Macaca mulatta: one gene and its partners. The protein of the gene in region 6 binds, or shares a complex with, the protein of the main gene of each other region. Links are inferred from orthologs where the notes say so. Each region holds a gene or a part of one and is shown on either strand. Other genes may lie near its edges. The genes, in order: FBXL13, DRC7, IQCG, IQCD, DRC1, TCTE1 and DRC12.

Evidence for each region.
Region 1: TCTE1 (region 6) and FBXL13 share a complex: the UniProt entries of both Homo sapiens proteins name them as parts of the nexin-dynein regulatory complex. The link is inferred for Macaca mulatta from reciprocal best matches to the Homo sapiens genes DRC5 and FBXL13.
Region 2: TCTE1 (region 6) and DRC7 share a complex: the UniProt entries of both Homo sapiens proteins name them as parts of the nexin-dynein regulatory complex. The link is inferred for Macaca mulatta from reciprocal best matches to the Homo sapiens genes DRC5 and DRC7.
Region 3: TCTE1 (region 6) and IQCG share a complex: the UniProt entries of both Homo sapiens proteins name them as parts of the nexin-dynein regulatory complex. The link is inferred for Macaca mulatta from reciprocal best matches to the Homo sapiens genes DRC5 and DRC9.
Region 4: TCTE1 (region 6) and IQCD share a complex: the UniProt entries of both Homo sapiens proteins name them as parts of the nexin-dynein regulatory complex. The link is inferred for Macaca mulatta from reciprocal best matches to the Homo sapiens genes DRC5 and DRC10.
Region 5: TCTE1 (region 6) and DRC1 share a complex: the UniProt entries of both Homo sapiens proteins name them as parts of the nexin-dynein regulatory complex. The link is inferred for Macaca mulatta from reciprocal best matches to the Homo sapiens genes DRC5 and DRC1.
Region 7: TCTE1 (region 6) and DRC12 share a complex: the UniProt entries of both Homo sapiens proteins name them as parts of the nexin-dynein regulatory complex. The link is inferred for Macaca mulatta from reciprocal best matches to the Homo sapiens genes DRC5 and DRC12.

Annotation. Positions count from the first base shown.
Region 1 is NC_133408.1:142,725,904-142,729,867, forward strand, and holds part of FBXL13 (F-box and leucine-rich repeat protein 13), read right to left. Parts: intron 2,393-3,964; coding exon 2,225-2,392; intron 1-2,224. UniProt on the Homo sapiens protein: Substrate-recognition component of the SCF (SKP1-CUL1-F-box protein)-type E3 ubiquitin ligase complex.
Region 2 is NC_133425.1:53,304,380-53,308,769, reverse strand, and holds the start of DRC7 (dynein regulatory complex subunit 7), read right to left. Parts: upstream 2,982-4,390; 5' UTR 2,915-2,981; intron 1,325-2,914; 5' UTR 1,195-1,324; intron 1-1,194. UniProt on the Homo sapiens protein: Component of the nexin-dynein regulatory complex (N-DRC) a key regulator of ciliary/flagellar motility which maintains the alignment and integrity of the distal axoneme and regulates microtubule sliding in motile axonemes.
Region 3 is NC_133407.1:975,609-980,020, reverse strand, and holds the start of IQCG (dynein regulatory complex protein 9), read right to left. Parts: upstream 3,147-4,412; 5' UTR 2,891-3,146; intron 2,766-2,890; 5' UTR 2,599-2,765; intron 1-2,598. Other genes in the region: LMLN (leishmanolysin-like peptidase), read left to right, coding at 3,267-3,485. UniProt on the Homo sapiens protein: Component of the nexin-dynein regulatory complex (N-DRC), a key regulator of ciliary/flagellar motility which maintains the alignment and integrity of the distal axoneme and regulates microtubule sliding in motile axonemes.
Region 4 is NC_133416.1:120,444,585-120,448,548, forward strand, and holds part of IQCD (dynein regulatory complex protein 10), read right to left. Parts: intron 1,055-3,964; coding exon 821-1,054; intron 1-820. UniProt on the Homo sapiens protein: Component of the nexin-dynein regulatory complex (N-DRC), a key regulator of ciliary/flagellar motility which maintains the alignment and integrity of the distal axoneme and regulates microtubule sliding in motile axonemes.
Region 5 is NC_133418.1:98,567,283-98,571,246, forward strand, and holds part of DRC1 (dynein regulatory complex protein 1), read right to left. Parts: intron 2,114-3,964; coding exon 1,974-2,113; intron 1-1,973. UniProt on the Homo sapiens protein: Component of the nexin-dynein regulatory complex (N-DRC) a key regulator of ciliary/flagellar motility which maintains the alignment and integrity of the distal axoneme and regulates microtubule sliding in motile axonemes.
Region 6 is NC_133409.1:137,835,143-137,839,076, reverse strand, and holds the end of TCTE1 (dynein regulatory complex subunit 5), read right to left. Parts: coding exon 3,915-3,934; intron 2,178-3,914; coding exon 1,968-2,177; 3' UTR 560-1,967; downstream 1-559. UniProt on the Homo sapiens protein: Component of the nexin-dynein regulatory complex (N-DRC) a key regulator of ciliary/flagellar motility which maintains the alignment and integrity of the distal axoneme and regulates microtubule sliding in motile axonemes.
Region 7 is NC_133419.1:119,879,189-119,883,295, forward strand, and holds the end of DRC12 (dynein regulatory complex protein 12), read right to left. Parts: intron 3,790-4,107; coding exon of another isoform or gene 3,704-3,789; coding exon 3,611-3,703; intron 1,379-3,610; exon of another isoform or gene 1,311-1,378; coding exon 1,180-1,310; intron 927-1,179; coding exon of another isoform or gene 922-926; coding exon 775-921; 3' UTR 729-774; downstream 1-728. UniProt on the Homo sapiens protein: Component of the nexin-dynein regulatory complex (N-DRC), a key regulator of ciliary/flagellar motility which maintains the alignment and integrity of the distal axoneme and regulates microtubule sliding in motile axonemes.

The DNA of each region.
Region 1 (3,964 bases), on a different chromosome or scaffold from region 6:
AAACAGAAATATAGACAAATGGAACAGACAAACAGAGCCCAGAAATAATAGACAAACAGAGCCCAGAAATAATGCCGCACATCTACACAATCAAGAAAAACAAGCAACAGGGAAATAACTCTTCATTCAATAAATGATACTGGGATAACTGGCTAGCCATATGCGGAATATTGAAACTGGACCCCCTCCTTACACCACATACAAAAATCAACTCAATATAGATTCAAGACTTAATGTAAAACTTAAAACTATAACAACCCTGGAAGATAACCTAGGAAATACCATTCTGGACATAGAACTTGGCAAAAATTTCATAATGAAGATGCCAAAAGCAATTGCAACAAAAACAAAAATTAACAAATGGGACCTAATTAAACAAAAGAGCTTCTACCAGCAAAAGAAACTATCAACAGAATAAACAGACAACCTACAGAATGGGATAAAAAATTTGTGAACTACACACCAACCGAAGTCTAATATCCAGAATCTATAAGGATCTTAAATTTACAAGAAAAAAACAACACCATTAAAAGAGTGGGCAAAGTACACAAACACTTCTCAAAAGAAGACATGTGCGCAACCAATGAGCATATGAAAAAATGCTCAACATCACTAATCATTAGAGAAATGTAAATCTCACACCAGTTAGAACGGCTATTATTAAAAAATCAGAAAATAACAGATACTGGCAAGGTTACAGAGAAAGGCAATGCTTACACACTGCTGGTGGGAATGTAAATTAGCTCAGCCATTGTGCAAAGCAGTTTGGTGATTTCTCAAAGAACATAAAACACAATTGCCATTCAACCCAACAATCCCATTATTGGGTATATGCCCAAAGGAATATAAATCATTCTACCATAAAGACACATTCATGCATATGGACAACACAGCACTCTTCACAATAGCAAAGATATGAAATCAACCTAAATATCCATCAACAGTAGACTGGATTTTTTTAAATGTGGTGTGTATATATATATATACATTGAAATACTATGCAGCCATAAAAAAGAATGAGATCATGTCCTTTGCAGCAACATGGATGGAGCTGGAGACCATTATCCTAAGCAAACTAACACAGGGACAGAAAACCAAATATTGCACATTCTCACTTACAAGTGGAAGCCAAACTTCTGAGTACATACGGACACAAAGAAAGGAACAGACACCAGGATCTACTTGACGGTAGAGAGTGGGAGGATGGTGAGGATCAGAAAAGTATCTATTGAATACCAGGCTTATAACCTGGGAGACAAAATAAATCTGTACACCAAACTCTTATGACACGCGATTTACCTACATATAACAAACCTTTCCGTGTACTCCCTGAACCTAAAATAAAAGTTAAAAAGAGACAGAGAGAGAAATAATTAGGGCAAGGATGACAGACTTTATTACACAAAGATTTAACATTTCTGTCATCAGCCGGGCGTGGTAGTTCATGCCTGTAATCCCAGCACGTTGGGAGGCCAAGGTGTGTGGATCACCTGAGGTCAGAAGTTCGAGACCAGCCTGGTCAATATGGTGAAACTCAATCTCTACTAAAAATAGAAAAAATTTTAGCTGGGCGTAGTGGTGGGCACCTGTAATCCCAGCTACACTGGAGGCTGAGGCAGGAGAATCGCTTGAACCCAGGAGGCGGAGGTTGCAGTGAGCCAAGATTGCGCCATTGCACTCCAGCCTGGGCAACAAGAGTGAAACTTCATCTCAAAAAAAAAAAAAAAAAAAAAATTCTGTCACCAAAAGACTCCACAAGCAAAACTGAAAGCAAACATCAAGTGTAGGGGAAAAAATCTCCAAATATATTCCAAAGGGCTAATATTGCCAATATAAAGAGCTATTACAAACCAGTAAGAAAATTATAGGAATTACAATGTAAAAACAGACAAGATAGGAACAGGTAATTTGTAAAGGAAGAAATAATGGGCAAAAATAACCTTATTCTAACTGAATGCAATATATCAACAGTAGGATTATATGTATACATATATATATATATATATATATATATATATATATTTTTTTTTTTTTTTTTGGAGATTGAGTTTTGCTATTGTCGCCCAGGCTGGAGTGCAATGGCACCATCTCAGCTCACTGCAACCTCTGCCTCCTGGGTTCAAGCAATTCTCCTGTCCCAGCCTCCCAAGTAGCTGGGATTACAGGCACATGCCACCACACCTGGCAGATTATAGTATATAATGTATAGTGTATTCATACAAACCTGCAATATCGCTCTTTCAGGTAACAGTGAAATGTCACATTTTAGAGTCTCATCTACAAGAGAGCCTTCAGAAGAACTTTGTTCAGGAAAATTGGATTCTTCTGCAGTAGCTCTTTTGAGTATTAACCTATTTTTCCATTTTTTCAATTGAAGTTCATGTTTTAGTATCTGCAATGAAAATAATTTTAAAATTCCATGCAATTGCTGTAACGATCAAGAGAGATGACAGACATAAAGCACAGTGCTTGACACAAGAATAGAACAAATTAAACATTATTTATGATTGTCATCATTACTACACAACTATAATTTTTCATAAGCATGTTTAACGTTCCCTGAACCACCAAAGTATTACAGATCATTTCCATTAGTTGTCATAAAACACTGGCACAGGCAGCCACCTTGAAAGGCTGATCTAGTCCCCTCTTTCACAGATGAGGAAGTGAGGACCACAAAGTCAAGGCTCTGGCAATGATAAAACTGGTAATTGGTGCATGGAGTGAAGGTGATTAACATACGGATAACAAAAAAGGGAAGTCAGAAGTAATGTATTTGGGAAATTGCCAAATTTATCATCACAGGAAGTCCCCATTTTAACTCTTGATACACTTCTGAAAACTGTGTAATAAACAAAGGTAGTAAGTATTTCAGTCATAAACATATACACACAATATTGGGGTAATATATATTAATGTAATATATATGTGTGTATGTATGTGTGTGTGTGTATATACACACACATATTAGAGCCTGAGGAAGAACACATGTGGAGCGCTTGACACACAGGTGTTCCCTGCCTCTGCTCCCAGCATACCCCTGCCAGCCTCACTCCATTTAAGGGAATGTAGAATGATTGTTAGGTCAATAAATCATGTATCTAGAAAAAATGTTCTCTAAACACACAATTAACTATATAATACACATATATCTTAACAATATTATAGTATATACAATATACATTATATATATTAATATATATCAACTGTGTGCAAAACATCATGCTCAGCATTCAGAGACTACTAAGAGAACAACACTGCCTGCTCTCAGGGATTTTCGGTTTATTCGTTTTTTGAGAAGGAGTTTCGCTTTTGTTGCCCAGGCTGGAGTGCAGTGGCGTGATCTCGGCTCACTGCAACCTCCACCACCTCCAGGGTTCAAGAGATTCTCCTGACTCAGCCTCCCAAGTAGCTGGGATTACACGGGCCTGCCACCATGCCTGGCTAATTTTTATGTTCAGGGATGTTTAGCTGAAGCAGGTGTACAGGGGTGGACTGGTCATGTACTGTTACCTATTTCACTATTAGACAATCAGTGATCAGGCATAGAGGGCAGTGATCAAAACACTAGCTTAATAATACAGAGTGGTGGAAAGCACTGAATGAGCAGACTAATATAGTGTTAGGTACCCAAAGTACAGCTGTTTCACTGGTAACACTGAAAAGGTAGTGTGCAAAAGGCAAAGCCTACAGGACAGCATACAAGACCATCAGCTCAAAACCTACACATTATAAACTTCTGGAGAGCATCTCAAGTAACCTCTGAGATGCTTAAAACTCAGCACAGGCTCTAGCACTGTCTTAAGCATACATAAGTAATAAATCTCCTCATACTCTTTTGCTGCGTGTGTGCTATTGTTGGTCTCAACATCTGAACCAAATTCAGGCGAGTGGGGGCATTGATCCATGGGGCAACCACAAAAGAAGGGAATTTAACTTCACCCCACATTCTCTTTCCTATTTA
Region 2 (4,390 bases), on a different chromosome or scaffold from region 6:
CCTTTCAAACATGGAGAAGGTCTCTGTTTGGTGCTACCCCATCTGTAACACCTTTCTAATCCTGGCAAATATTCCTTTACAACAAAGACAAAGCAGGCCTCCGGCTGGAAGCCATCATCAGGACAGGACAGGGCAGGACACATGTCAATTTGCTTTAAGTATATTTGACAGTTATCCTTTTTTAAATTTTTTATGTTTTTGAGACAAGGTCTCACTCTGTCACCCAGGCTTGGAGTGCAGTAGCGCAAACATGGCTCACTGCAGCTTCAAACCCCCAGGCTCAAGCAATCCTCCCACCTCAGCCTCCCCAGTAGCTGAGACCACAGGCACGCACCACCACACCTGGCTATTTTTTTTTTTTTTTTGGTAGAGACAGGGTCTGGCTATGTTGCCCAGGCTTAAACTCCTGGCCTCAAGTGATCTTCCTGCTTTGGCCTCCCAAAGTGCTGGGATTACCGGCATGAGCCATTGTGCCAGCTGACAGTTATCAATGACAAGTACTGCTAATGCTGTGGGTACTACTATAGTATTGTCACATTTCCTATTTAAATAAATGAATTGGCTGTGTGCGGTGGCTCATGCCTGTAGTCCCAGCACTTTGGGAGGCTGAGGCAGGTGGATCACTTGAGGTCAGGAGTTCGAGACCAGCCTGGCCAATATGGCGAAACCCCATCTCTACTAAAAATACAAAAAATTAGCCAGGCATGGTGGTGCACACCTGTAATCCCAGCTATTCAGGAGTCTGAGGCAGGAGAATCACTTGAACCTGGGAGGCGGAGGTTGCAATAAGTCGAGATCACACCACCGCACTCTAGCCTGGGCAACAGAGTGAGACTCCATCTCAGATAAATAATAAATAAATAAATACATGAATAAATAAATTGGTTTAAAGAAAATCCTAACAGTAAGGTAATATGGACTACAACCCACCCAAAAATGAAGACAGCAGGTGAATGATATCTCACCTGACCAAATTGGGAACCAAGGCACAGAGAGTGAAGGTGCGTGCACCAGGGCACACAAACAGGAAGTGGGGGGTGGGGTAACAGAGCCTGCTCTCTCTTGGCCAAGGCCTGTGTCGGCCCAGAGAACAGGCTTCATTCTGTGATCCACGCAGAGACGCCACATGTGTTCACCATATGTCCTGCGACCACAGAGCAGAGCCTCACTGAGCGGGTACTGCTAGTCACCTACCCAAAGATCCAGTCTCCTCTTCTATACGGCAGAACCCCAGTTGTGTGGGGTCAGCAGTGTGCCTGGTTTGAATTGCTCAGCTTCCCAGATCCTCTTGTAGCTAGAGGTGGCCCTGTGATGTGACCTGGTTCTGGCCAATGAGATGTGGGCAGAAGTTATCGGGGCACCCTCTGCCCTTCTCCTCCTCCCACCTGGAATGTGGAGATAAAGTGGGAGGTGGGGCAGCCCAGGTGAGACCATGAGGTGACCACACATGAGGGCTAAAGTAGCCTGCTAAGGATGGCAGGGCCAAGAGACCGGGGAGCTGTGGTGCCACAGAGGACTGGAGTGCCACCTCCAGCCTTTCCTTATATAAGAAATGTCAGCCTCTATGGGGGTCCCTGATCCACACCGCCCAACGCCACCCCAGCTGATCCAGCCTCCCAGCTGGGGTCTTTCTATTTCTCTCCTCCAACATCTGTTTTCCTTATAGTAAACAGGGGTCCAGAGAGGAGGAAAACAAAGGAAACCCACAGGACAAAGGGCGCGAGTAGTGAGGAGAAAAAAGCAGAATCCCCTCGACTTTGTAATCATCCCCCACTTCCCTGGGTGAAGCCAGGAACAAGAGGGCAGAAGGGAGCAGCAGATAAAGGCTGGCCCCATTCCCCACACCACACCCACGCGGGCCGCCTCGGCCTCTTAGGGAGGTGAGTCACTGGCCACCAGCCAGGACTGAGCCCGGTTGGGGAAATCCTGGCTTTGCCAATAGCTCCTGCTGGACCCTTGGGTCACTGTCTGCGCCTTTCTGTGCCTCAGTTTCTCTTTACAATAGGAAGGGAGGGCAGATATTTTCTGTCCAATTCTGACATTCTGTGTTCTGGGACTCAGGAGGGGATGAATGCTCATCTGGCTGGAGCCCACCCAAGCCCAGGTGGGCCAACAGCATTCAGGACCCCAGATCCTCAGGGGAGAACCTCTAGCCAAGCAGCACTTCCCAGTCATCAGATCCATTTATCGGCCTCTTGGTCCCAGAGAGAATGAGCACAGGGAGGGCAGTCATCACCATTACAAGGCACTTACAGTTTGCTGAACGCCTACTGTGTGCCAGGCCCTGTGCTTAGGGTTGTACGGAGATCATCTCACTTATCCTCTACTGACTCTGTGAGGCAGACACTTAGGACACCCGCTTTGCAGATGAGAAGACTGGGGCCCAGAGAGGTTGAGTGCACTGCTTAAGGTCACAGCTAGTAAGTAGCAGGTCTGGGATTTGAGCCCAAGTATTTCTGGTTGTGAAACCTGTGCATCTCAGGCTAGAAGAGATGTGAGATGGGGAAGTGCTAGAAGGGATGGTGGGGGAGTGGTGGGCAAGGAAAGAAGTAGGATGAAGAGAAAGCCAATGTGTCAGTCCCAGAACACCATCAGAGGCAGAGCTGGGGAGAAGAACCCACAGCACTTTATTCCCTACACAGGTGGCCTCTTCAGCTATAGCCCAGTGTGGGGAAGGCAGTCTTGTCTCAAGGTTCCCTAGATTGGGCCCCAACCCACAGGCCCTTTCCTGTACCCCCTTTCCACCAGCAACTTCCTCCTCCCAACACACATGAACACACACACACACACACACCCCAACAACTTCCCCAGAAAGATCAGGGCTGGAGGCCCCCAGGCAGAAGGAGGCCACCAGCCTCGCCCTCTCCCTGCCAGACAGGGTCCAACCACCCCAAGTCCCTTGCTCCCTCCTCACCCCTCCGAGGACAGCCTGCGCTAGCAGTTAGCCGTCTCCATGGTAACAGCCTGGGACGCTGAAGGCCGGTCCTGGGAGAGGAGGCTTCTGGGAAATGTAGTCTTCCCAGGTTGCATGGGTCCTTGGGCCAGCGGTGCGCTGGTATAGCGGGGCATCAACGTGCTAGTTGTTAACCTTTTCAAAATGGTTGTGAAACACAGCCATTATTAAAAATTAAAAGGGCTGGGCACGGTGGCTCATACTTGTAATCCCAGCACTTTGGGAAGCCGAGGCAGGAGAATCCTTTGAGCCCAGGAGTTCAAAATCAGCCAGGGCAATATATAGTGAGACCTTCTCTTAAAAAAAAAAAAAAAGGCCATGGGGTTATTTACACCACAAAAATTAGCAAATGCCAAGACCAGGGCTTTTCCCCTGAGCAAGCCAGTTGTTAAACATCTACCAGCACACCGCAGCCCCTGCCACACGGCATGCCGAATGTGGCCGTGATCCAGACAGACAGAAACCAGTGTGGGGCCTGGAGTAGCTGCCAGCTGTGGTGGACAGAGCCACGTTGCCTTGACTGAGTCCTGGGTTCTAGTCCAGGCCGGGGCTCTGATGTAGAACATTACTTCGAAGTACGGGGAAAACCTATCCATTAGGCTAGTGGCTCGTGAAAATGTTTAATTTCTTTTAAATTCAGAAGAAAAAAATAAGAATAATAATGACTATATAACTATGAATCTGCCCTGAATTATATTTATGTTTGTACTAATATAGTTCTAAAATATAATCTTTACTGTTTTATTTTTGGAGGGAGGGGTGCCCAGGCCTTTTTTGGTTAGGGGATAGGGCTGCCAGGAGGGAATCCAGACTGTCACTGTGCTGACAAGGTTGCACAGTTAGTGTTACCGCTAAAAACTTAGGAATTGCCTCAGTTCTCATGAATAGAGAATGATTTTCCCCCTCCCGGTTTGAATATCATGCAGCCATAAAAATAAGCTGTAAAGGATCAATTGCGCTGTGGAGAGCTCACCAGAGGGTGTGTGTATTTCAGACTTGGGGCTAAGCAACTCATAATTACCTCTGTGGGGAACTGGCTGGGATGAGGGAGGGAAGTGAGGAGGGAGGAGAAAGGAAAACAGGTGATGTGTTATGCTGGTGGGATGCAGCATAGGCTTCATTTTCTTTTTTCAACCCCATGCAATATTTTATTCCTTTTACATATTTATTCATTCCTTTTTCTCTCCATACCCACTTTCATTTCCCATCTCTATAAGGCAAGAGTTCTGATGCGTATTTTTTTTTTCCAAAATGAGTATTATTTTGCATGCTGGTATTTTAAATATATGTTTAATATGAGACTGAATGAATATATCCTTCTGGTTCTTATATTTTCATGAAGGGCTGTGTTTTTAAGATCTCTCCATGTTACTGTGTGGATCCACACTTATTACCTCTTTGTCCTTCCAGTGACGGGCATTCGGTGTCCAAGTGTTC
Region 3 (4,412 bases), on a different chromosome or scaffold from region 6:
GTTATTTGTGGAGATGGGCCTCACTATGTTGCCCAGGTTGTAGATTTCTAATTGATGCAGTAACAGTCCTTCCCCCGCACCCCCCCCCCCCAACGAGGGTTATTGATGTCTAAAGCACAGGTAGTTTTTTAAATTAACAGATCTTTAAATTGCACTGAAAATGTCAACAAGAAACTGGGAGTTTGCCCCCTAATCCCTTTTGCAGTTTTGAAACATGTATGGGTTCTCTTGTCTATGCCGCAAAAGAATTAACATGCTGGAAATGTATTAGGGAAAGAGGGTGAAAGAAAGGACTGCGTGGGAAGAGCACATTGGCTGTTGTGTTATTTGGTCTTTCATCTCCTGGAGGCAGGACTGAGAAGGAAAATGTAGTAAGGGAAAAGAGTAGGAATACTGTCCCAGCTTTTCCGCTTCCCCTTCCTCTAGTAACCATCCTGTTACAAATCTGCTAACCTACTAAGAGAGTAATGAGATATACTGACGCAAGAGAAAACAAGAAGTCCTCTCCCAGAGGTCCCTCTGTCACATCGGCAGTCGTAAGAAAGGTTCGGTCAGTCCAATGGTGGAATGTAGGCCAAAGTTGCCATTGTTGGAGTCCCATGTTTCATGGACAGGGGCTTTTATTATTAATGCTCTGCCAGGCTCATTTATTAGGATTGTGGTTTTAAGGCAAACAAAGTGCATTGATGCTGTATTCACCAGAAGTAAGCCATACTTTTTCATGGTCAAAAGTTGGAAGTTGTATATTAGAATGCTGATGAAATTGAACTTGGGAATTACGCAGTCAGCGGGAGGAAGTGCTGATCTTGGACACCCACTCCAAAAGGCCAATATAAGCTAAAAGTACCTATTGTGTTCATTGTGCCAGTTAAATAGATGTGATCAGTACTCTTGGGGTATTTAGGGATAGAGGCATGTGGGTATCCTGACATAACATAAAACTATAAAGTGTAGAAGAAATACGGAGGCATCTCAGGAAATGGCAGGAAGATTTTAGGAATACAAGTAGCTGACTGGAAAGTCCAGAAAACTCAGAAATGCCACATAAGACGTCTCTTGTACTGAGGATCTTAAGATTGTTCTTGTGTGTAGTAACAATGTCACTGAAGAACTTGATTCACAGGAAATTTTAAAATTTACTCATTTGAGACAGGGTTTCTGTTGCCCAGCCTGCAGTGGTGTGATCATAGTTCACTGCACCCTTGAACTTCTGGGCTCAGGCAATCCTCTGCCCACAACCTCCAGAGAATCTGGGACTACATGTGCATGCCACCCACATCCAGTTAATTAAATTTTTTTTTCGGGGTCCCAGGCTGGTCTCTTAATTCCTGGCCTCAAGTGATCCCCCTGCCTTGTTCTCCTAAAGTACTGGGATTACAGGTGTGAGCCACCATGTCCAGCTCAGATTAACATTTTACATCCCAGTGGCAGCCCAGTATAAACAAGGGAAAATCAGGTGGGCTTTTCAGTCTCAAATGGCTAACGTTCTAACATGTTTCTGGCTATGGGGGCTGGATGGGTAATGGTGCATTTGCAAAGCTGGGGAACCAGGGGATGGTTTTGTGGGAGGAGCAAAAGTTGAATTTGAGGAGGCGGTAAGATGTTAATCGACATATCCATGAAGACTGATGGGTATTTCAGGTCTGGTTTAGGCATATGGAGAAGTGAATGGTATTCTGAGTAGAATAGATGAAAGGAATGGAGGTGCTTACACAGTAAGTGGTAGGCATCTGAGCAAAGCGGGGAAAACAAAAGGTTGAGACTTTAGGGTAACTCGAGTAACTTATATGTGCAATGGCAAATGAGACTCGAGCAAATACATGCTCTTCCTTACCGAGATGATGCAGCATTTGTAAATAATAAATTTATAATTTTTTCTGCTCCCATACCGAAATTAAGTCAAAAGTACTTAAGTCACCGTTGCCAAAGTCCCGTGGTTTACAGGAAAGGGCTTGCGTGGCTGGTATTTTGTTCACTATGCCATTGAAACAGCTTTGGCTCATGGCTGTAATCCCAAACACTTTGGGAGGCGGAGGCGGGCGGATCACCTGAGGTCATGAAGTTGAGACCAGCCTGGCCAACGTGGTGAAACTACGTCTCTACTAAAAACACAAAAAGTCGGGAGTGGTGGCGGGCGCCTGTAATCCCGGCTACTCGGGAGGCGGAGGCAGGAGAATCGCTTGAACCCGGGAAGCAGAGGTTGCAGTGAGCCGAGATTGCGCCACTGCACTCCAGCCTGGGCGACAAGTGAAAGTCAGTCTCAAAAATAAAAAAAAAGAAACAGCCTTTCCTCAGCGTAACACTATTGTAACAGCCAGGAGCTTAGGATGACTGGTTCCACTCTTTATTCACAACAGCAGTTTATTTGTGGTACTGTAATGGAAAGGGCACGTTTCCTAAGTTACAAATGTGGTTTGGAATCCCACCTTCCACTAGTTGTGGGATGATACACACATTATTTAGTGACTATTCACTTGTAAAATGGTAATACTTAAGACACCACCCCATCCTCATATCTGAGTCCGTAATCTCCACCCAGTCTGTAACTTGAAGTTTTCCTTCTTTCCTACCCCTTCATTTCCCAGTATAGTAGTTTACCTATTCAATTCCCGTTGCATGACTTCCAGCTCAGTGTCTGAGTTCGTACTTTTACTTCTTAGTGTCATGAGCCACTGGAATTTGTCCCAATTTCCCATTTTGTGTAGTTCCTCACGGCTCCCAGGATCTCCCTTATCTCAGGTGCAGTGGCAATTCTTGGTTGGAAACTAAAAGATGGAGTTGAGTAAAATAGTAAAGTGTGTATCATTGATTTTTACAGGAAATGGCTTTAGTCAAGTAAAGCGCCTAAAGTTGGTGACTCAGGATAAGTAAATGAAAGTATTCCACTCACCTTTTCCTACAGAGGACTACACTGAAAGATTCTGCAGAGGGTTGAATGTCCGTCCAAACACCTGGCACCTAGTAGGTGCATATCACTTTGGTAAACGAAAGAACTGGAAAACTGCCTCAGACACCCACACACGGCCAACGCCCGCGCGCCCTTCTTCCTCCCACAGCCCCACTCACGTGGGCCTCCAAACGGCATTTATTGGCCGGCCTCGCGCAACGAGACGCGATGGACGTGATCGCCGCCCTCATCTTCTGCCGCGAACTTCCAGCGGGTGACGCTGTCCAATCGGAAAGCACCTTTCCGCCGGCGGGGGCCTCCGTCTGCCCCGAGCGGCGAGGGGCGGGGCCGGCGCGGGCGCAGAGGCGTCACGCGCTCCATGGTAACGACGCTCGGCCCGAAGATGGCGGCCGAGTGGGGAGGAGGAGCGGGTTACTCAGGCTCAGGCCCGGGCCGGAGCCGGTGGCGCTGGAGCGGGTCTATGTGGGTCCGAAGCGTTTTACTCCTGTTGGGCGGGCTCCGGGCCAGCGCCACATCTACTCCCGTCTCCTTGGGCAGTTCCCCTCCCTGCCGGCACCACGTCCCCTCTGACACTGAGGTAGGGCGACAGGGGCGGGAGCGGGCCCTGTCAGGGTAAAGTCGTCCAGAAGGAGCAGGCGTAGGAGGTAGTGACTGGGAGAAGGTGTCCTGGATGAGAAAGCGAAATCGGGGCAGAGCCTGAACTCTTACAGGCCTGGGACCCGCTCTCAGCTCCCTACACCCTGCAAGTTGGCTGTTAGGCGCTCAGAACAGTATCACTTCGGTGCGGAGGGTTGTGCTTAGCAGTAGCCCTGGAGGAGTGCTTTTCAAACTTGAGCGTGCATCACAGTCACCCGACGCACACGGTCCAACACAGATTGCCGCCCCCAGTCCCCCACTTAGTGACTCAGTGGGTCTGGGATGAGTCCCCAGATTGACAGTTTACGTTCCCAGCTGGTTGGTGATGTATGCTTGTCCGGGGACCACTTTAGGAACCGCTGACCTGAAGTTTCGGGAAGATACTGAACGGAGAGCCAGACAGAGGCGTTGGGGGGATGTTGGGGGCTCACTGGAGACAAACTTCAGGTTTCTTTTCACGTTGTGTCGTCACTCTGTTTGCTTTACCCGATTCCTCTGCTCTGGAAGTGCCTGCCGGCCTCCCGTCCCATTTTTCTCCCTGCTTAAATACTTTGTCTCATTTCAAGTTCCCCAACCTCAAGGCAGCCTGCCGAAACTCCCACAGCGGAATGTTCTTTTCATTAAAAAGTACATCGTATCTGTACTCCCTCCTAGCATTTAACCAAGTACTGCTATGTGGTAATGGCTTATTTTTTTTAGGCGTATCTTGCCTTTGCAGTTAAATTGTAAGGTTCCGTGGGATGAGGTTTGTGTTTCATACTTTGATTCCTTCACAGTATTTAGGTCAGAGGTGGGTCCACGATAATCCATATTCCTTGAGAAAAGGAGGGAGAGTACCTGGGGGCAGGGCTGCATGCTGATACATACA
Region 4 (3,964 bases), on a different chromosome or scaffold from region 6:
TGCAGTGGCGCAGTCATGATTCACTGCAGCCTCCAAACTCCTGGGCTAAAGTGATCCTCCTGCCTCAGCCTCCCAAGTAGCTGGGACACACATCACAGCGCCTGACTTATTTATCTTTTATTCTTTGTACAGACAGGGTCTTGCCGTTGCCCAGGCTGGAGTGCAGTGTGTGATCACAGCTCACTGCAGCCTCCGCCTCCTGGGTTCAAGTGATCCTCCCACCTCAGCCTCCCAAAGTGTTGGGATTACAGGCATGAGCCACCTTACCCGGCCAGAAATGATATTTATTGAACACCTACTATGCACCAGCTCTCTCACCACCATCTCATGTAATTCTCGTGTAACAACCATTAAGACCAATGTTAGCATTTTCATTTCCAAGGTGTGAAATCGGCAGCTGGGCAGGAGTTGAGTAATTTGCCTGAGCTTCATGTGCTACTTCTTCATTCCTTTGCATGGCACCCAGCCTCTGAAGATGTGGGTATTATCCCTGTGAGGTCTGAGGAGTTGAGGAACTTGCCCAAGGTCACAAAGCTGGCATGTAGCAATGCTGGGACAGGGTCCCAGTTTCTCTATCCCCCATCCCCAGGCCTGTGTGTTGCCCCTTCCTGCCTCCCAGGAGACATTGGCTCGGATTTGGGCCTTCCCTGCTCCTGTGTCCTTCCCCTCCACCACGCCACTTCCTGAGTAGCTGGTGCAGCCCTGCCCTGCCCAACACTGCTGGACCTCCAGGAGTGATGGGACAGTCCCACCCATCCCCCGCCCCAGGGGCCCCACCGGCCCATCCTCCCTGCTTCCCGCTTCCCACTTCCCGGGGCACCTTCCTCAGCGCCTGCTCCGCCTCCCGGTTCTCCATGACCAGGTTGTAAAACTGTGACTGCAGCTGCAGGATCTCCTGCTGGATCTTGGCTACCCTGGCCTGTGATGCCCGGAAATCGGCTTTCTGCTGCTTCTCGGCCTCCTGCTTAGTGCGAAGGAGGCTGTTCTCTGAGAACTTGAGCACCTGGTGCAAGTGGTTTTTCAGTTCTTGGATCACAAAGTTCTCCTTTTCCACCTGAGCCAGGAAGAGAAAGGGCTCTGTTAACACCTCCATGCCCAGCCGGGCACAGTGGCTCACGCCTGTAATCCCAACACTTTGGGAGGTTGAGGCAGGTGGATGACCTGAGGTCAGTAGTTTGAGACCAGCCTGGCCAACATGATGAAATCCCATCTCTTCTAAAAATACAAAAATTAGCCGGGCATGGTGGTGCATGCCTGTAATCCCAGCTGCTCGAGAGGCTGAGGCAGGAGAATCGCTTGAACACGGGAAGTGGAGGTTGCAGTGAGCAGAGATATCACACCACTGCACTGTAACTTGGGTGACAGAGTGAGACTCCGTCTCAAGAAAAACCGTCCATACCAACTGACAGTCACCAGAGGCTGGCACCACTGCATCCTCCCTCGGGGCCAGGCATGCCACCTGGGTTATTATCTCTCTAATCACACCCCCAACTCCGCAGTGGAGGTCAGGGACAGCCTGATTACAGACAAGAAAGCTGAGGCTCAAGGAGGTGGCTTCATCTGTCTGGGGTTGCCCAGCTCAATGGGGTCCTGAAGCCAGGTTTGTCTGACCTCGAGCCCACGTTCTTGGCCACCACTTTCTATTTCCTTGCACAAATGAAGGGTACAAGCTTGTTGGATTGAGGCCACCGGGGAGGACCGGGACAGCAGTGATCCTCCTCCTGGGGACACAGGAGGGGAGGCCCAGCTGGCAGAGACACTTGGTGGGGTGCATGAAGGTGTGCGATGAACACAGGCTGCAGGGATCACCACCAGGCTCTCTCCTGAGGGCCTATGCCTGGCTTGTCCCCTGCCTTGGGTGGATTCTCGAACAGGAATGGGGGTGGAGGATGAGACAGTTTTGTAAAGAAGCCCTCAAGGCTTCTCATATACACTAGAGTCTCCCTCTGAGCACAGTGGTGCTATGGCTGCTCACGTCACCATCTTGGGCTTGGGTCAGCTGGCAGCAGGCCTGCCGGGCATCTGCTCACCTCCTGCACACTGGGGGCAGGAAGGCAGCGCCTTTGGGGCAAGCCCATCCTGCAGGCAAGGCTTGAGGCACCAGGAGCTCGGAATATGATCAGCAGTCAGAGCTCTCCTTGTAGACTCCCCACACGTGCCTGATTGGTGTCTCCCCTCATTGTACACTGAGGTTCAATGACATGAAATTTGTCCACCTGGCAAAAATGGCATTTGACCCCAGGTCGGTCCAAGGTGAAGCCCCAAGCTGGTTCTAGCACCTGAATGAGACCAGCAGGGCCACCTGTGTCCCTCTGCCTATTCCTAGATGATGCCCCTTCCACCTTACAAGTAACCTCACTGCCCGAGGGCCCAGCAGCCCGTGCTCTGTCCACTCAGCAAGTATACATCATGCCCCTCCTTTGGACAGGCTTACTAGGGACACAGTGGCAGGCTGAAAGAGACAAGGTCCCCTTTTCTTGTGGAGGAGCCAAACCTCTCAAGACCACACATATCACACACAGATATGTTATCCACAAAGTTGGGTGAATGTTACCAACAAAGTCAGATGAATGCTTTAAAGGACAAATTCAATGAGAAGTGCCCAACCCAGCACCAGGGAGGAGGGTAGTGAATAGTTTCCCAGGACCTTGAACCTCTCATCAGTGGTGGGGGATAGAAACAGAAGGGCCTGTGACAGTGCAGCCTGGCTACCGCCCATGTCTGTTCTCCCCAGAAAGGCTGTGGGGTAGAATGTGGAACATAACACGGCCCGGTGACAGGTGGTGGGTCCTTCCTAGCACCTCTCTCTGCTGGGTGTGGCTACAAGATGTGCATGGAAGTTCTGTGTGCCACCTCCACATGTGTCCTTAAGGGGCAGAACCAAGCCCTCTCCTCCCCTTTCCTCCTTCCTGTTGGCTGGACCGGGGGCCACATGATGGGGAAAGCTGGAGCAGCCATCTTGGCCCACAGGCAGAAGTCCTACGTGGGGTCAGCAGGAAAGTCACATTGAAGAAGCCAGATCTCTGACAACTTGGGGAGCAGAGATGCCACACCAGCTCCGGTATTTCCACTACAAAGAAATATATTGCCGTCTTAACTAAGCCAAAGCTATTTTGGGTGTCTCTGTTATAGCAGCCAAATCTGTACTCACACATCATCTCACAGGATTTTTGTAAAGATTTAGAGAGAAAATGTATGTAAAACAAATACACTGTATGTGTCCAATATGACAATTATTATTAGGTTTGGGATCATGCTACCGTTTCTTTTTTTTTTTTTTTTTTTGAGATAGGGTCTTGCTCCGTAGCCCAGGCTGGAGTACAGTGGTGCGATCTCAGCTCCCTGCAATCTCTGCCTTCTGGGCTCAAGTGATCCTCCCACGTCAGCCTCCTGAGTAGCTGGGACTACAGGTGTGCACCACCACACCCAGCTAATTTTGTCTTTTATGTGGAGACGGGGTTTCACCATGTTGCCCAGGCTGGTCTCGAACTCCTGAGCTAAAGTGATCCACCTGCCTTGGCCTCCCAAAGTGTTGGGATTACAGGCGTGAGCCACCACACTCCCATTTCCCTTCTTAAAAATTCTTCTAGCTGGTGTGATACGCCTATAATCCTAGCTACTCAGGAGGCTGAGGCTGGAGGATCCCTTGAAGCTAGGAGTTCAAGACCAGCCTGGGTAACAGAGTAAGACCCCATTTCTTTCCTTTCTTTTCTTCTCACCCTTTCTTTCCTTTCCTTTCTTTCTTTCTTTTAATTGAGACAGAGTCTCACTCTGTCACACAGGCTGGAATGTGATGGCACGATCTTGGCTCGCTGCAACCTCCACTTCCTGGGTTCAAGTGATTCTCCTGCCTCAGCCTCCCAAGTAGCTGAGATTATAGGTGCCCGCCACCATGCCCAGCTAATTTTTGTATTTTTAGCAGAGATGGGGTTTCACCATGCTGGTCAGGCTGGTCTCGAACTCC
Region 5 (3,964 bases), on a different chromosome or scaffold from region 6:
GCAGAACCACCAAAGGAAACAAATAAATTAAGAAAGAAGGGCAAATATTTTAGGGTCACTTAAACCGAAGAAGAAAACCCAGTATCCAATCATAATAGGATGAGGCCTGAGGAGAAGTCACTACGTTTGGCTAGAAGGGCATCATTGGTATCCTACTTTGGGAAGTTTTTGTACAATCCTGGGGTCATAGGTTGCTATGGCTTGAATGTAACTCCTCCAAAATTCAGTGTTGTCAATGTGATAATATTAAGAGGTGGGGCCTTTAAGAGGTAATGAGGCCATGAGGGCTCCCCCGTCATGAATGGGATTATGGGATTAAGGCCCTTATAAAACAGGCCTCCCAAAGCCTTAGGCCAGCTTGCTCTCCCATTCTTCTGCTGAGTGAGGACACAGCGTCCCTCCCCTCTGAAAGATACAGCCCTCACTAGAAACTGAACCTGCCAGCCTTGATCTTGGCCTTCCCAGGCTCCAGAACTGTGAGAAATAAACTCGTCTTTGTAAATTATCCAGTCTCAGGTAGTCTGTTATAGCAGCACAAACAGATATGTCAAATTATGAAATGTTGGGTGGTGATGAGGAGGAAAGGAAAATGGCAATGAAAGCAAGAAATGAAAAGATGGTGCTTAGAAATGGCAGGGTCCGTTGAAGGGTTTTTCAGGCTGAGGGAAAGATGTCTGAGTTTGAAATAAGAGGGAAGATTCCACTCATCTCTCAGCCACACGCATCAAACCCAAGCTCTGCCTCAAGCGCCTCCTCCCGCCTCCCACCTTACCCGTTCTCTACACCCACTGTGGGACTTCCTGAATCCTACCTCCTTGCCTTCAGACCAGCCATTCCCAGCTGCCAGCACTGTCCACCTGGAGTCTCCTCTTAACTGCCTTTTGCCAGTTCATGTCCCCACCCCCTCCAGTATTTCACTTCTTTGGGAAGTTTTCCCAGGTGCCTCCTCACTGTCTTGATGTGTGTCTTTCTTGGATGTTCCCCTATCTAGTATGGGGCTTATATAGTGGGAATTTTTTCATAAATATTGTCCCCTGACTATTCTTGTTTCTCAGATAATCAGGCTTAAGATGCCATCCCATTTATTCAGTATCATTTTCTGTGATAAGTAACTACCAAAATGTCAACTGATGTTCGTCTATACATTCAACATGTGTCCAAAATGTACGTATTACCAACCCACAAGTGGAAGAATTCATAAATAATAATAGGCTATTTGGGGTTTGGAGGGAAATCCTCAATCTTGTCTCCTTCTACAAGCAAGAAATCTTATTCCACTCTGGTCCTCAGAGCCTAACACAGTGGTCTGAAACTTAGAATGCAATTCCTAAAGGAAGAAAGGCAGGAAGGATGGGACTAAGGAGACAAGGAAGAAGGGAAGATGTGTGAGAAATTTCAAGCAATAGGTACCTTTCAATGAGCCATGGTATCTCCACAAAAGCAAACTGGCACATGTCATGAGTACTTAGGTTGGTATTATTTGCAAGGGAAAAAGGCTGGAAGCAATCTACATGTCCATCATTAGACACTGGTCAAATAAATCATAGTGTATCTATACAGTGGGTCGTAGCAGCTTAACAAACGGTAAAAGCTCTCTATGAACTGGGATGGAAAGGTCTTCAAGATACACGGCAGTGTGTACAGACTGCCATCATTTGCGTAAAAGCAGATGGGGGATGAGAATATTTGTGTGGGCTTGTATATGCCTAATGAAATTCTGGAAGAGACAAACTGGTTATAGAGGTGGGAAAGAGGAACAAGATGAATGGGGATGGAAAATCTTTTGCTATGTTCTCTTTTCTTGGGGAGAGAAGGGGAACCACTTGAATGTATTAACTTCTCCAAAAAACTATTTTAATAAGTGTTGGTTATATTTTTAATGGTTTCTACCCCTTCAATAGAAAAAAGTACATATCCATCCCTATTCTCAGCACAGAGAGCCCAGAAGAAAGACGCTCTGCATGCTAGCTTACCGATTGATCTTCCTCTTCTGCTGGGATTTAATCACTGTGCTTTCTTCATCTCTCTTCTTCAGCACCTGCAAGTTGTACTCTAATTTCTCTTGGTTTAGTTGATAAATTGCTTTCCTCTGCTGAAGCTGCTGCTCAAGAATCTAAAATTTTAAAAAAACTATATATATATCTATGTATATGTGTATATATATACACACACACACACACACTAACTCTACACCTGCATCCTTAGTATTATATACACTAGCGTATTTAAAATGTCTTTTGGGGAACATGCTTTGTATAGGTAAATATTTACATAGATATACTTACATAGTCCTGCTTATGTATGTTTATTTACCTAACTATGCATCTCCATATTCAGATGTATTTATCTTTGTACCTACATTCATAAAGAATAAAGAGGTAAAAGTATTGGTAGAAGTTTATACTGGAAGTATACAAAAATAAACTTTCCTACATTTATAAGCTTATCTGCCCTGTGAATTATACCTAAAATTGTACACAAATAAAGGTATGCTCTGAAATACAAATATATATATATTTTCACACACTAGTTGGCCCTAGCTTGTAGGCTTCTGATAAATTGTTCAAGTCATGTCAGAGGAACCTTAGGGACAAGTGCCTCAGCCTGCATTCTTAGAAAATCTATCATGAGAGTCAAGTTAAAGGTCAACCAGATAAAATACAAGTCAATGAACTGTAAACTAAAATCTGTATACCTAACGCCTAAGAAAGATCACAGAGCTTTCAAGTCCAACTAACTCCGGTAACTTTCTCCAGACCCTTCAGAAATATGAGTAGCCCCGCTAAAAACACCATAGAAATAAATACGGCCACAAAAACTTGAAATTTCCCCCACTTTGACCTTCCAGGGTGGAAGTGTTAGTGTTTAGCAACCCAGGTTCATTTAAAAGGACAGACACAGTCATCCTTACTTTTTGGATTTCCATTAGCTGTATTCATTCATTCAGCAAATACTTATTGTGTGCCTAATCTGTGTGAGATACTTTTTGAGGTGCCGTTGCGAAAACACCAGTGAGAAAGGCATAGTCCTGACCCGTCTAGAACAGAGGCAGATAAACAAACGCTAGGGATAAGAGGCAAGATAGAGGGAAGCCCAGACCATTATGGGACCAATGACAAGAGCACTGTCCTTGGTCTTGAGGGACCAGGGAAATCATCCCTGGAAGATGGTGTGTCTAGCTGAGACCTAGAGAATGTGCTGGAGTTACACAGGTGACACCGGAAGGGAGAGCACTCTAGAGAGAGGAAATAGCATATATGAGGCTTTGGGAAAACCACAAGAAGTTTAGGATGTGAGGCACGAGGCAAGGAATGGTCAGAAATGAGGCTGACAGAGCAGCAGAGCCTTCCCAAGCTAGGAATTTAAAGCATTATCCTGAAGTCAAGGGAGGACCACTAAAAATGTTAAGCAGGGAAGGAAAATGGTTGGTCCAGTCACTGTAGAAAGATCACCCTGACAGTTTGTGAAAAAAAGATCAGAGAGAGGCAAGGCTGGAGGCTGGCATGCTCCTGCCTCTCCCGAGTGAAATGCAGGAATGGGGAAGGCAATCAAGTGGAATCAGAAACTCGATAAAACTGCCACGTGCGTGCTGTCTCCAGCCTCTGTCCCGTCTCCCTCTGTTAGGCTACAGACTCTGGCCCAGGAGTCAACAGAGGAAGTGATTCCAAGCAGCTATCACAGCCCACTCTGGGTCATACTCCAGGAGGGCTCCTGGCTAGGAGGTGACGCTCCATTGGGTCAGGAAGCACATCATTTCCATGGTTGCTGTGGAATCCGGTGATTCCCACACACATTGTCATGGGGGAATTAGTCAAGAATATTCTACATCACCACCGCAGGGATTTTTAAATCTCCATTATGAGATGAGTATTTGAATGTCTCCTTCAGAACAGAAGCCTGTAATATCTTTTAACAGATGGTGAATGAAGAACCATATGAGTCCCTGAGATCATAACTAATCCTA
Region 6 (3,934 bases):
CTTCCTAGGGAGAGGGGCCCAAATTGTGGGGATACCATGGCCCATGGCTTCTAAAGGGTTTAGCTTTACTCTCAGGTAGAGATGGCTGAGTGAGGAGGGAGAAGAGACTAGAGAGAGAGAGGCTTGGGCAGGGGAAACGGCTGCCCACCAGGTTTCCCTGGCAGTAGTGCCCACCTGCCTATCAGCACTGAACCTGCCTGGATCCCGAGTCTGTGCTCCTTGGGGGCCTGGCATTTGGAGCACCCTTCTTTCCTCTGATGGACATCTGTGAGGTACAGGTGGTGAGCTGCGGCCTCAGGCTCCATTTCTTAGCCAGCTGGCACCCGGATGTCATGCTCTGTGTGGGGACAGCCTGGCCACCTCAGGGCTCCAGGGGAGGAGGAACATGGCTCCTCCTCCCTCAGGCCTGTTCCTGAGACAGAGCCTGGTCTCAGAAGAGGGGAAGGGGGGACCTCTATTATTATTTTTGCCTGTATTGACCATTTCTGCCTAGGTCGTCTCAGACAGCCTCATCTCCCACACACGCACAGACTTAGAGAGAAACCAATTCTTTGGTCTATTTTCTTGGTAGCTTTATTGATTGCCAGGGAAAACAAAAACCAGAAAATTAATCTCTAAAATTAAACTTTACACTGAATGTTCTTGTTTCTCTAATTAGAACCTCTGCTAGCAGCTGTGGCTATACACACACACACCCTCACACCTACACGTTTGCACTCTGGAACTGTCAGAGGGTGTCAGGCACACAGACTCTAGGTTGCCTAGACAGGCATACACATGCAGTCACTCCCAAGCCCCCTTTGGTGCTCTGCTTAGCGTCTGCTTAGTGGAAGGAGTCCCTGGAGAGCAGGCACTCCTGGATTGGGGTTGTAGCCCATGACCTGCCCTTTGGGGACACAGTTCTGGAGGCTCTGGGCCAATCAATCAGCCTGAGGAGGATGGGGAATGGCGCTCAGCCTGAATCAGTCAGCTAGGTCTCTTGTGGTCCTGGGGGCTGATGTGATTCCTGTAGGTGTGGCCCCAGGGTGGACAGCTACAGAGTGATGGGGACTCATGGAGGGCACCTAGAAGGCTCCATGTGGCCTGGGGACAAGGGCTTGTGGGGTGGGCTGGGCCTGGCTGGGGAGAAGACAGGTCTCTGTCAATTGGGTGCATCACACTGTGGCCTTTTTGTCGTGGATTTAAGCGCAAAGATTGTACAAATCAAACTGGTGGATAATAAAGTTGTGGATGACTCACTGACTTCCTGTCCCAGTGTGGCACTTCTTTCCCTCCCTCCCAGGGAAGCTCTCTGGGGTGGGTGGCAGGAATCGTGTCATCCTTCCCTGGAAGTCGTCATCTACAGCTGCCTCCCCAGAGGAGGCCACTGGGTCTGAGTCCCTGGTGTCATTTCGTTGTCCCCGTCCCAGGTTGGGGGTTGGGGAAATAGGGGATGGAGTGGCCTATAGAACTGGATCACCTAAAGCAGAGTCAAGCAACAGGGAAATGCATCTACAGGGCTGAGGGTGGCAAAGAGAGCCAGACATAGGTCTGCTGTAGCCAGAGCGTGCGCGCGTGTGTGTGTGTGTGCGTGCGTGTTTGAAGATCAAGGATCTGTTTGGTAGAGAAGAAAATGGTGGGGAGGGGAGTCAGGGAGGCAGGCAGCCCCCGTGGGAGAATCTGGCAGGCACAGTCCCTCACACACCTCTCTGACTTCCCTATTCCTGGAAGAAGTTGGTCATTTGTGGGGGTTCAGTAATATCCTTTCCCTGGGCACAGGGGCTGGGTTCCTACTGCATACCCTTTCTTCCCCCATGCCAGTCTCCCTTTCCTGCCTCATGTCTCCATCCATACAACCCTTGATCACTCCAAGGATATTCACGGTCCCCCTCCCTGCTCCCTCTGAACCAGAGTGATAGTCTGCAGCAGGCATGGCAGGGGTATGAAATGAGGGACAGGGCTGGGGCCATGATCCAAGTCAGGTCATTTTATCCCACAGAGTTCTCAGGGCCATTGGCAGTGATGGTTGACATGAAGTGGCTGGGATTCAAGGCCCGCTGGCGGGCTGCTTCTCGGTTTGCATAGAGGGCCTGGCCAATGAGGTACTCGCTTTCCTGGGCCACATCTGACAGGCGCAAGTCAAATTCCAGGAGGGTCTTGTTGTCCGACATGCCTTCCAGGAGCTGCTTCCCACCGTCCTGGGAGAAGGGTGCAAAGGAAGGGGTCATATACATCACTACCCAGGATCTGACATACATAACTACACATTTTCATGTAGATGTGACTAAAACATAAAGTTTCACAAAACAATACTTAACCTTTTTGTGACGCATGCTGACATATTCTATTCTTTTCCATTTGAAAAATGGTAGCCAATACCCACTAAATTGATTTCTCAACCCTACTAGCTTGAAAAACATGAATCTCTGGCAATGATGAGAATTCCATTCCTTTGGTTCAGCCATGGGCATGTGGGACAACTCTAATGAGATGCGAGGGGGAAGCTGAGAGGGGGTGGCTTCTGGGAAGGTTCTCCTCACTCCAAAAAGAGAAGAAAAGGGAGCAGGTGTTCTCCTGTTTTCTGCCTCTGGGCATGTCCCTATGTGAGATGTCAGAACTGTGGCAGCCATCTTGGGACCGAGAGAAGCACTAGAGAGGCCTTAGCCACGAGGCTGGGGTGGGCAGAGCAGAGGGTGGCACTGAACCCAGGGGTTTACCAACCCTACAACCCTCTAATTCTGGTTGTGGGAGACACTGAATATTCCTCCTGCTTAAGGCCATTTCTGGTTAAGCTTTTTATTACTTGCAGTCAACAGCACCCCCTCTAGAAAATGTGTGTGTGTGTCTGTGTGTGTGTGTGTATGTGTGTGTGTGTGCATGCACATGTGTGTATGTGCCTGTGTAGGTGAGCAAGGTTCTCATGGGGAGGTTTAGCAGAGGGTTCAGTGACCTAACGGAGGGCCCCGCTCAATGGTCATCACAGCTCCAACCCCTGCTGGGTTGGGTGGGCTAGCCCCAATGTGAAAGAATTTCATGTTGGGAGGCAGAATGCCACCATTCTGTGGTTGTGACCCAGCAGTGTGTTGCAAAGTCAATTTAATGGGTCACAGAAGCATTTAAAAATACAATAGAGTAGAATGTAAAGGAAAATATCAGCATATATCACGTCATAAATTTCAAAATTATGTTTATGTTGGTGTTCATGTAAATTGCATTTTTTTTTTTTTGAGATGGAGTCTTGCACTGTCACCCAAGCTGGAGTGCAGTGGCATGATCTTAGCTCACTGCAATCTCTGCCTCCTGGGTTCAAGCAGTTCTCCTACCTCAGCCTCCCGAGTAGCTGGGGTTACAGGTGCATGCCACCACACTGGGCTAATTGTTGTATTTTTAGTAGAGATGGGGTTTCACCATGTTGGCCAGGCTGGTCTCAAACTCCTGGCCTCATGTGATCTACCCACCTCAGCCTCCCAAAGGGTTGAGATTATACGCGTGAGCCACTGTGCCTGGTCATAAGTTGCATTTCTTACTCTTAGACTTGGTTAAGAAAGTTTGAGAGATACAGTCTATTAGAAAGGACTCAGGATTTCAATCAATCTTGGATTTGAACCACAGCCTTGCCACTTTCTACTGACTTGATGCCCTTGGGCAATTCATAATCCTCTCAGACTTAGTGTTCCATCTAGAAAGTAGGGTTAAATATACTTAGTTATATACTTAAATATATTTAGAGTTAAATACGCTTAGGGTTAATATACAGTTACTTAGGTAACTGTAAGGATTAAAGGAAAAATAATAATCACTGGGATACACAGTATGTGTGCATACTCGATGCGGTATGTAGTATGTAAAGTCTGTGATCTTCACAATTATCCCACAAGTACTCCTGGCAGTCGGATTCCACACCCACCCTCACAAGCCCAGAGTAGGTGGCTCACCAGCCCGATGTGGTTGCAGG
Region 7 (4,107 bases), on a different chromosome or scaffold from region 6:
CTACTGTGTCTTCACTCTCCAGCCCGAGGTGGTGGAGGCAGGATTGCTCTCTCTAAGCCAGACTGGAGGAACTCAGGCACCACCGATCACAGGCTGGCCCAGGTGCTCCCCCACTTCCTGCAGGCCCACCTTCTAGCAGAGGGTGTGGATGGAGGCCTCAGGCAGGTTCCTGAAGGAGTCTGAGGCTCCAGAGGATGTCATATGGGAGTTTGGAGAGCTGTGTCCCAGGGATGAAGGTGTGGCTGTGGGTCTGGCTAGGATTGAAGCCATCTGGACCTTTTCTAGATATGACTCCAGGACACTTGAGTGTAATGCAAAAATGTGGAGACCAGCTATGCCTGTCTTCTGTGGGTGCCTCAGCATTGCCGGAGGGTGGTGCTTGGTCACCGTTGCATTTGTTATAGAAGTGGCCGTTCCCCATAAATCTGACTGCCTGTGTTTGTGTTGGTGGGGGTAAGGGGCAGTGGTGTGAAGGGACCAAAAGGGCCTCAGGCTCAAGGGGTGGGATGCGGCTTCTGCAGGAGAAAAGGTGAGACCTGGTCAAATTTCTTTCCTATCACTGAGTCTCAGGGATAATGGGTCAACCCAGAACTGAGATGTCTGCATGAGAGCCACTCCTAAAAATAAACAAAACAAAAGAAAAAAACAACAAAAGAAGAAAACTAAATAAAAATAAAAATAAAAAAGATCCACTCCTCTCTGCCAAAAGGCCAGAGCCCACAGCTCTACTGAGTTCTACATCAAGACACTTTATTGCTGGCGCCTCAGAGAACACTAGAGACTAGGGGCTGATGGCCTCAAAGATCCAGGGCGGTGAGTCCAAACTGGCGTAGCTGCTCCTTGTGCCTGGCATGGAGTCTCAATGCCGTCCCATCCCACTGTGACTTGATGGCTCTCAGCTTGGCCAAGAGCCTGTCCAGACTGTCCTGCAGACATCAATATTTCAGCCCCCAGGAAGAGACAGGGAAGGAGTGAGGGCTGCCCCAGGTTGGTTTGTAAGCTTTCCTTGCCCAGTAGACATGGTTGTATCCCCTCTCTGCCCTCAGGATAGAGCGGGGCTCCCTTGGAGATACTTCTTCTCCTTACCCCTGGGTTGTCAGTCATCACACTAGCTGGGGTTTGTGGGCATGGGGGAGTCCTGGGTACTGGGATGACTGGGATCCAGGAGGTGGTGCTTACCTGTAAGATTTCCTCATACTTTGCCTCCATGTCTGCCACGTGGGTCCGAAGCTGAGACAGGGCCTGGTCCCGCTCTCTTAGAGCTTGTTCAGCCTCTTCCCGGGCAGCCGCAGCTTCCTTTTGGCATGCCTCTGGGGGCAGGCAGGATGAAAGACAGCAGGATGGTGACACTCTATCCTTGACCAGTCTCCAAAGGTATCTGGAAAGGAGACCTTGAATGGGCTCATTCCAGACTCCCCCAGCATCACCAACTTTCCTGCAGTCCCTGTAAAAGCTGAAGCTCCACTGAGGTGTAGCAGAGAATGGTGGGCTTGAGACAGAAGGCTCCAAAGTCGGATTACTACCTAGGTGACCACAGACATGTCTCTTTCTGAGCCTCAGTGTCTTCATCTTTTTATTTATTATTTATTTATTTAGATGGAGTCTCACTCTGTCACCAGACTGGAGTGCAGTGGCATGATCTCGGCTCACTGCAACCGCCGCCTCCTGGGTTCAAGCAATTCTCTTGCCTCAGCCTCCTGAGTAGCTGGGACTACAGGCACATGCCACCACGCCCAGCTAATTTTTTAATTTTTATTAGAGACAGGGTTTCACCATGTTGGCCAGGATGGTCCCTATCTCTTGACCTCGTGATCCGCCCACCTCAGCCTCCCAGAGTGCTGGGATTACAGGCGTGAGCCACCGCAGCTAGCTGGTGTCTTCATCTTTAAAGAGAGAATGACACATCTCTCAGGGGTATGCTGTGACCTTTAAACACGATGATGGATGACAAAGCACCTAGCTAGTATACAGGAAGTGCTCCGTAAACATTGATTCATTGGCCGGGTGTGATGGCTCACGCCTGTAATCCTAGCACTATGGGAGGCCGGGGAGGGCGGATTACCTGAGATCAGGAGTCCTGGCCAACATGGTGAAACTCCCATCTCTACTAAAAATACAAAAATTAGCCAGGCATGGTGGCACACATCTGTAATCCCAGCTACTCGGGAGGCTGAGGCAGGAGAATGGCTTGAATCTGGGAGGCAGAGGTTGCTGTCAGCCGAGATTGCGCCATTGCACTCCAGCCTGAGCAACCAGAACGAAACTGCGTCTCAAAAAAACAAAACAAAACAAAACAAAAACAAAAAACAACAACAACAACAAAAACAATTGAGTTATTGATTGACTTGGAATTTGAGGTAAAGCAAAGATTAGGAAAGGAACCCAGGGTCTGAATGGCAGATAAGCAGCTCCTGGCCATCTATAGCTAAACCAAAGGCTTTTTTTTTTTTTTTTGGTCGGAGTCTTACTCTGTCACCCAGGCTGGAGTGCAGTGGTGCGATCTCGGCTCACTGCAGCCTCCGCGTCCTGGATTCAAGTGATTCTTCTGACTCAGCTTCCCAAGTATCTGAGATTACAGGCACATGCCACCATGCCCGGCTAATTTTTGTAATTTTAGTAGAGACGGCATTTCACCATATTGGCCAGGCTGGTCTCGAACTCCTGGCCTCAAGCAATCCTCTCGCCTTGGCCTCCCAAAGTGCTGGGATTACAGGGGTGAGCCACTGAGCCCGGCTGAAGGCATTTTTAAGGTATGAACACTTTGGGACCAAAATTGTGCAAGAGCTCATGTGTCATGCTGAGATATTTCAACATTATTTTGTAAGCAGGAGGCAAGAGAAGAGAAGCAATGGCTTCCTAGTTTTTAAAAATATTTTTGCTTATTGGGAGTGTTTATTCATTTATTTAGTGAACAGTTATTTAGGACCTACCGGGTGCTAGGTCTTGTAAGTAAATAAGTCAAACATTTTCCCTTAGTTTCGTTGTAGAAATCAGCTAAACTAAAAGGGAATATGTTTTGCTCACAAGAGACATGGCAGTGGTGGGGAGTTAGGTAGGGCTGGACTTGGAGAGGAGGAAATGGGGTGTGACGCCTACCTCTTCTTTTTTATTTTTATTTATTTTTTTGAGACAGAGTTGCTCTGTCGCCCAGGCTGGAGTGCAATGGCGCGATCTCGGCTCACTGCAACCTCTGCCTCCCGGATTCAAGCAATTCTCCTGCCTCAGCCTCCCGAGTAGCTAGGATTACAGGTGTGCGCCACCACATCTGGCTAATTTTTATATTTTTAGTAGAGACAGGGTTTCGCCATTTGGCCAGGCTGTTCTCGAACTCCTGACCTCAGGCGATCCGCCCGCCTTGGCCTCCCATAGTGCTGGGATTACAGGCCTGAGCCACTGCGCCTGGCACCTCTTCTTTACTTACAACAGAGATTCTTGGCATCCCGAACCCTCTGCTCCAGTCCTCGATGGTGGAGGGTCAGTGAAAGTGGGGAAAGTGATCCCAGAGCCCGGGTGGCAGCTTTCTGGAGCAGAGACTTTGAAGTCTGCCCCTTCATGCTGGCCCTTGCTGCAACTCTTGGAGACAAGGGGCTTGGGGGGTGGGGAAACCTACCTAGCTGCCCCCGAAGGCCCTTGACTTCTTCCTCCAGCTGCTTGCTGCGGGATTGCATATCCTCCTGCAGGGCATGGCACTGGCGACTCATCTCTGGGGTGGGGGCAGTAGGCCGCCAGGGACCCAGGTCGGAGATGGAGCGATGGAGAAAGGAAATGAAGTTGTGGGTGGGGAAGACTCTACTTGGTCTAGTGGAACAGGAGCACAAAGGCCTTCTTGGTTCTTCTTTTTCTTTTTTTTTTTTTTTTTTTGAGACGGGGTCTCGCTCTGTCGCCCAGGCTGGAGTGCAGTGGTGCGATCTTGGCTCACTGCAAGCTCCGACTCCCGGGTTCACCCCCTTCTCCTGCCTCAGTCTCCCGAGTAGCTGGGACTACAGGCACCTGCCACCACACCCGGCTAATTTTTTGCATTTTTAGTAGAGACGGAGTTTCACCATGTTAGCCAGGATGGTCTCGATCTCCTGACCTCGTGATCCGCCCGCCTCGGCCTCCCAAAGT